Macaca fascicularis: one gene and its partner. The protein of the gene in region 1 interacts with the protein of each later gene in a pairwise test. Links are inferred from orthologs where the notes say so. Each region holds a gene or a part of one and is shown in the gene's direction. Other genes may lie near its edges.

Region 1 (3,500 bases):
CCTTTGGGTTGGGGGGCGGCCAGCTGGACACATGCATGATGTCTCAGGGAGGCAGCCCTTTCCCTGTGCCTGTGGCTGATGCGCATCCTACTCCTCCATCTGCAGACTCCCGCCGCTGCAAGAAGACTTTCCGCCAGTGCAGCAATGGGCGCTGTGTGTCCAACATGCTGTGGTGCAACGGGGCCGACGACTGTGGGGATGGTTCTGATGAGATCCCCTGCAACAGTAAGTGAGGCGCACTGGCATAACCCATCTGTACCTCAGTTCCTGCCCCACCCTTCCCTGGCCGAGCTTTGTCCCTGGGCCCCATGGTGTCTGGTTTAAGGCACTCTGTGACAGGCCAGGGCAGGTGCTGTGGGCCAGGAGCTCTGTCCTGCGTCCTCCTGGCCCACACAGAGAAAACTCTGGCCTGACGGTACGGGGCGGGCACTGTTCTAGAGACAGCCTGTGGTGTGGGCGAGTTCCGCTGCCGGGACGGGACCTGCATCGGGAACTCCAGCCGCTGCAACCAGTTTGTGGATTGTGAGGATGCCTCAGATGAGATGAACTGCAGTGAGTGACACCCTTTGCTGGCACCTCCTGGGCTCCTCCCCATCGCTCACTGCATCTCCCACCTTCAGGCCCTCCTGCACCTGCCCATATTCCTCTCTGCCTTGCCCTGTCCCCACTGACAGCCTCCATCTCCCTGAGGCCCTGTCCCCATCCCGCTCCTGCTCCTGGGCTCTCATGGGGTTCCGAGAGGGGGTAGTGAGCGGATGGTGCAGACAGTGCCCCACTGGAAGGGCACTGTTCAACTTTTGGAAAAGCATGAAGGCACCGTAGGGCTGGCAACTGCCCCAGTGGGGGGTGATCGGGGGGAACCAGGAATCACCCTCACCCCTGCCCCCACCAGGTGCCACTGACTGCAGCAGCTACTTCCGCCTGGGCGTGAAGGGCGTGCTCTTCCAGCCCTGTGAGCGGACCTCGCTCTGCTACGCACCCAGCTGGGTGTGTGACGGCGCCAACGACTGCGGGGACTACAGTGATGAGCGCGACTGCCCAGGTGGGCAGGGGCAGGTGTGTGGTGGGCGGTGGCCTGCGGTGAGCACGGCCTTCACACCTGCCTCGCCCCCCAGGTGTGAAACGCCCCAGATGCCCCCTGAATTACTTCGCCTGCCCTAGTGGGCGCTGCATCCCCATGAGCTGGACGTGTGACAAGGAGGATGACTGTGAACACGGCGAGGACGAGACCCACTGCAGTGAGTGACCACAGCACCCACTCAGTGCTCCAAGAACCTGCTGGGCCCCACTTCTTAGTCCCCCCTTGGAAAAGGGCACCCAGGGCCTTCACCCCCTGCCCCACTCTGCCTCTAGCTGCTGCTGAGCCCCCCCACAGACGGTTGCTGTGGGCATTTCTCCTGTCCTTCCCATGGCATCAGCCTCTCCAGGTGGGTGACCCCCGCCCTTCCACATCTAACTGTGGCTTCCGACTGCCCCAGACAAGTTCTGCTCAGAGGCCCAGTTTGAGTGCCAGAACCATCGCTGCATCTCCAAGCAGTGGCTGTGTGACGGCAGCGATGACTGTGGGGACGGCTCGGACGAGGCTGCTCACTGTGGTGAGGAAGCTGGGATTGGGCTGGGGGAGGTGCCCCAGGGAGAGACAGACTCCACCCAATTCCACCCCACACACAGACACCCCTGCAGACAATGGCGAAGCAGCGAGTGCGTCACCTCTGCTGCTGGCCCTCATCCACCCCCTCCTGAGTCTCTCGATGGCCCCCTCTCCCCCCACAGAAGGCAAGACGTGCGGCCCCTCCTCCTTCTCCTGCCCTGGCACCCACGTGTGCGTCCCCGAGCGCTGGCTCTGTGACGGTGACAAAGACTGTGCTGATGGTGCAGACGAGAGCATCGCAGCTGGTTGCTGTGAGTGGCGGGGCCGTGTGGACCGGGTGGACAGCAAATGACCCCAGTCTCACTTTGCAGATGGGGAAGCTGGGGTGCAGGAGAGGAAATGCCTCAGCGGGGTCTGCTGGGGTGGAGCCATAGCTGTAGTCCAGGTGTCCAGACTCCTCATCAAGTGCCCCGCCCACTCTACCAGGAGAACCACAGGAGGTCAGGGTGGGGGACGGTCAGCTGCTGGCCGAGCAGGGCTGAAGAGCTGTGTCCACCTCTGTCCACAGTGTACAACAGCACCTGCGACGACCGTGAGTTCATGTGCCAGAACCGCCAGTGCATCCCCAAGCACTTCGTGTGCGACCATGACCGTGACTGTGCAGATGGCTCCGATGAGTCCCCCGAGTGTGGTGAGCCCTCGGCGGTGGCGGGAGGAGGCCCTGCCCTCCGCTGGGCCAGGGCGTCAGCCTCACAGGTCCCTTCCTCCCCCAGAGTACCCGACCTGCGGCCCCAGTGAGTTCCGCTGTGCCAATGGGCGCTGTCTGAGCTCCCGCCAGTGGGAGTGTGATGGCGAGAATGACTGCCACGACCAGAGTGACGAGGCTCCCAAGAACCCACACTGCACCAGCCCAGGTGGGCCCCAGACCTGGCTTCCCTCTGCCCCCTCCCCAGACTGCCTGAGACCCTGCTGACCTGCTGTCTCCGCCCCTCTGCAGAGCACAAGTGCAATGCCTCGTCTCAGTTCCTGTGCAGCAGCGGGCGCTGTGTGGCTGAGGTACTGCTCTGCAATGGCCAGGATGACTGTGGTGACGGCTCGGATGAGCGTGGCTGCCACATCAACGAGTGTCTCAGCCACAAGCTCAGTGGCTGCAGCCAGGACTGTGAGGACCTCAAGATTGGCTTCAAGGTATGCCCAGCCCTGGGGAGGAGCTTCCACACCCCAGACGTGCCAGGAACGCCTTTTTCCACTGCCTCATTCATTCATTCATCCCCTAGACACTGGGGATACAGCAGTGAATGAGATGGAAATCTGCTTGGTTGGGGTCTGCCTCTATCTGGCAGGTAGAGAGCCAGCAGATTTGCTGACAGATGATATACGGAGTGTGAGAGGAAAAGAGGAGTGAGGCGTCAAGTAGGCAAGAGATACACAGATCTGGAGTTCAAGGAGAGGCCCAGGTTGGAGAGGGAAGTCTGGGAGTTATCACCATAGAGATGCTATTTGGATCTATGAATCTGGATATGATTCCCAAGGGAGCAGTGTAGGTGGAGAAGAGAGCAGTCCAAAGTCTGAGCCCCAAGCTGAGCAACAGCCAGGAGCAGGGAGGTGAGGGGACCAGCAGAAGAGCCTGAGAAGGAGCAGCTGCTGAGGCAGGAGAACAGCCATGAGAAGAAAGCGTTTCCAGGGGGAGGGCACACGCAGCTCTGTCAAATGGCACTCGGGGGCGCACAGAAGGAGGCCTGGACTGCGAAGGCCAGACAGCCAGCTGGGTGGACTTAGTACCGATGTGCTGCTGCCCCTAATGAGGCCGGGTAGAAGGAATTGGAGTCTCTGAGCCAGGTCTCCAGGGTGGGAGGCCCAGACCCTGCCACACGCCCAGCCCAAGGCTCCCTGTGCCTGCAGTGCCGCT
Region 2 (3,500 bases), on another chromosome or scaffold:
TCCACTCTCCGGCCAGGCCAGGAAGAGGCAGAGGCCTCTAGATTTGGGGAATGGTCTCAGGGCCCTGACTTAGCTTCTCAAAGGTCAGGCACCTGTTCTGGACTCTCACCCTGCCCTCTCCCCCAGCTGCACTAGCAGAGCCTTGGAGAGGGTTGCCCCCCAGCTAGGCAGGGCCCCCAGGCACTACTGGCCAGAGGTGTGCCCCTGAGGGGCCTCAGACAAGCTCCAGCGGGCTTCACACACGTTCCAGTGAGTACTCAGCTCTCTTGGAGGTTGGGAGGCAGTAGTGTTGTCCCCACTCAACTGATGAGGGGCCTGAAGGGTCAGGGGATCTGTCCAAGGTGCCAGGGAGTTGGCGGCAGAACTGGAGCTAGGATGGGGCTCTGCATCTTCAAGGCAGACTCGTGGAGGGCCGATCTCGGGCTGGAGGGGCCTGGGCCGGCTGGCTTAGGACGGGGCTTCCACCGCCTTGGTTCGGGGGCCCCGCTCGCCCCTCCCCCTCGGCGTCCCCTTCCCATCCCTTTCAGGTCTCCGCCGTTCCTTGCCTGGCTGAGCCTCAGTTTTTCCCGTTTTCCTCAAGTCGCCTTCAAATACTATTTCCCCCGCCCCCATCCCTTGCCGCCCCCCCCCCCCCCCCGAACTCCTTGGCGACCACTGAGTCCCCATAGCAACAGCGGTGACTTCACTCTGGGCTCGGCTTACAACCCCAGTGAGGTCACCGGCCGTTGCCAGGGGAACGGGAGGGCGCAAGGAGTCCGGGGTGGGGACTGTGGGGAGGTGCAGGCAGTCAGAGGCACGGCTGGAGCCGGGAGGCGGCGGCCTCGCGCTTCCTAGCGGCCGGCGGGCGAGAGCGCCCCAGTCTCCAGCGGCCCCTGCTCCGCTCGCCTCGTGCCCCCTTCGCGCAGCAGAATGGACTCGCCCGGGAGGGGGGCGGTGCAAGCGGCCTCGGCCCCGCCCCGGCCCCGCCCCCTGACGCCCCTCCGTGCGCCACGCAGCCCCCGTGCGCCGGGCTGCTCTCTGCGGGCGGCGGCGGCGCGGGGAGCCGGTTGCAGGCGGAGATGCTGCAGATGGACCTGATCGACGCGGCGGGGGACACTCCCGGGGCCGAGGACGACGAGGAGGACGACGACGAGGAGCGCGCGAGGAGGACGACGTCGGGAGCGGGGCCGCCCAAGGCCGAGTCCGGCCAGGAGCCGGCGTCCCGCGGCCAGGGCCAGAGCCAAGGCCAGGGCCAGGGCCCGGGCAGCGGGGACACGTACCGGCCCAAGCGGCCCACCACGCTCAACCTCTTCCCGCAGGTGCCGCGGTCTCAGGTGAGGTGCCAACGCGGGGGGCGGCGCCCTGGGCCGCCGCGGAGATGTGAGGGGGAGCGCAGAGGGGCTGCAGCGGAAGGGGACACCCACGGGTCCAGTGTCTGGGGACAGCGCCTGCATAGAGGCCGCAGTGGCTTGCTCCCGGGGGTGGGATCCGAGCAGCGGGCAGAACCATCCTTAGGAAGAGGGCTAAGTCCAGCTGGCCGGGCTTGGAGCCTTGAGGCGGGATTGAAGGAGGAAAGGACTGGGGTTTGTAGAGGAGTAGGGAATTAAGAGAATGACGCTCTGAGGGGTTCGAAGGGTTTGGAGCGTGGGACCGCAGGCTGTGGCAGGGTTTCTCCTTTAGGGTATGGGGTTCCTGATGAAAGCGGGGTAGAAGCGGGGCCTGGAGAAAAGGGCATCCGAAGTGGTCATCGTCGGGGAGGCCATGGGAGATTGTGGCGAGGTGGGGATGGGGAGCTCAGGGGCCACAGGCCGTTTGAGATCTGGGCAGCTGGGGATTCCCGGAAGGCAGGGGAGAGGAATGGGGGATGGAGCTACTTGGCTAAGTTGGGGGCCTAGGGCCCCTGGGAGGGTGGCTGGATGCCAAGGAGAGTTGAATAGGGTTGGGGGAGCCGGCTGTGGCCCTTTGTCTTCCAGGCTCATCAGGAGAAGTGCAGGGAAGGAGCTCCTGGGAGGTGGGGCTGCTGGGGCTGCAGGGAAAGGCTTGGTCCCTTTCCCAGGATCCTGTGAATGGCTTTTGGCAGCCTGGCTCAGGAACGTGAGGGCTTGGGAGAGAGCTCCCAGGGGAGGGAGCCTCCGTGGAGTGGAGGGAGCCCTGTGTGGGCATTGTGGGGAGGGGTCCCGGGGCTGAGAATGTAGAATGGGCAGCCCGGGATACCCAGGAAGGAGGGCTGCTGACAACTGCATCTGTCAGTCCTCAGTCACGTGCCACTGTGGTGCGGGGTGCAGGAAAACTCTGTTATGGATTTGTCACTGGGATGATTCATCCCTGTCCCCCAGGCCAGCTGCTGGGGAGACCCTTCCTTGTGCTTTTTCCAGGCTCTACCAGAAGGTTCCCACCCCTTCTAGGCCATAACTTCCCAAGCTCCAGAGCAGAGAATCACCTGTCTCTGACTTGGGCTGGATTTGAGCATTTTCCAAGTAACCCTCAGTGTCTGGGACTGGGTATCTGACTGTGTCTCCAGAGAGCTCCTGCTTCTCTTCTCCCCCACCTCCTACCCCTCTTGCCACCACACACATTGACCATCACCACCTTTGTTAAGGGTGATAAGAGCATCTCCCTGAGGGTTGACCAGCTTCCCTGAGCAAGGCGGAAGGCCATCCGGAGCCAGCAAGCCTGGCTGTGACTTGCCACCCTTCCTGCCTGCTCCAGAGGAGAGTTGGGAGTGAGGCCTTTGACAGTGGAGGCGGGGTGAACACAGCAAACGGCCCTAGGGATGGCCTGAGGGGGCAGGGCCGGGGCCTCCCTGTGCCGGGCACTGTTGACCACTTCCATCACAAGAGCCTTTTGTTCCCCGCACAGGACACACTGAATAATAATTCTCTGGGCAAAAAGCACAGTTGGCAGGATCGGGTGTCTCGATCATCCTCACCCCTGAAGACAGGTAAGTCAGGGCCCTTTTCCTTACCTGGACCTCCGCCTGCCCTGACTCAGTCCCCACTGCAGAGAGCAAACCCTGCAGTCTCCAAAGGGCTGAGTAGAGGTAAACTGTCCACCCACATCCCTGCACAAGCCCATCCAGGGGGTGAGATCAGTGGTAGCGTGAGGGAGTTGACTGGCCCCAGAGAGGCTTTGTCTTGGTTTCTGTGTCACCAAGCTGAGAGTGGCGGGTGCAGGCAGCTGGGAGTTGGGAGAGAACCCCTGCCTTCATGACCTGCCTGCTCTCCAGGGGAGCAGACGCCGCCACATGAACACATCTGCCTGAGCGATGAGCTGCCCCCCCAGAGCAGCCCCGCCCCCACCACAGACCGGGGCACCTCCACCGACAGCCCTTGCCGCCGCAGCACAGCCACCCAGATGGCACCTCCGGGGGGTCCCCCTGCTGCCCCGCCTGGGGGTCGGGGCCACTCGCATCGAGACCGAATCCACTACCAGGCCGATGTGCGACTAGAGGCCACTGAGGAGATCTACCTGACCCCAGTGCAGAGGCCCCCAGACCCTGCAGAGCCCACCTCCGCCTTCCT

Evidence for each region. The genes of interacting proteins can lie anywhere in the genome.
Region 2: the proteins of LRP1 (region 1) and MAPK8IP1 interact in a two-hybrid assay, tested with the Homo sapiens proteins (2 studies listed by BioGRID). The link is inferred for Macaca fascicularis from reciprocal best matches to the Homo sapiens genes LRP1 and MAPK8IP1.

The regions. Positions count from the first base shown.
Region 1 is NC_088385.1:63,995,805-63,999,304, forward strand, and holds part of LRP1 (prolow-density lipoprotein receptor-related protein 1), read left to right. Parts: intron 1-105; coding exon 106-225; intron 226-438; coding exon 439-552; intron 553-892; coding exon 893-1,042; intron 1,043-1,115; coding exon 1,116-1,238; intron 1,239-1,478; coding exon 1,479-1,595; intron 1,596-1,773; coding exon 1,774-1,902; intron 1,903-2,159; coding exon 2,160-2,282; intron 2,283-2,364; coding exon 2,365-2,505; intron 2,506-2,588; coding exon 2,589-2,779; intron 2,780-3,493; coding exon 3,494-3,500. UniProt on the Homo sapiens protein: Endocytic receptor involved in endocytosis and in phagocytosis of apoptotic cells. Required for early embryonic development. Involved in cellular lipid homeostasis.
Region 2 is NC_088388.1:19,960,978-19,964,477, reverse strand, and holds part of MAPK8IP1 (C-Jun-amino-terminal kinase-interacting protein 1), read left to right. Parts: intron 1-995; coding exon 996-1,313; intron 1,314-2,838; coding exon 2,839-2,920; intron 2,921-3,205; coding exon 3,206-3,500. UniProt on the Homo sapiens protein: The JNK-interacting protein (JIP) group of scaffold proteins selectively mediates JNK signaling by aggregating specific components of the MAPK cascade to form a functional JNK signaling module. Required for JNK activation in response to excitotoxic stress.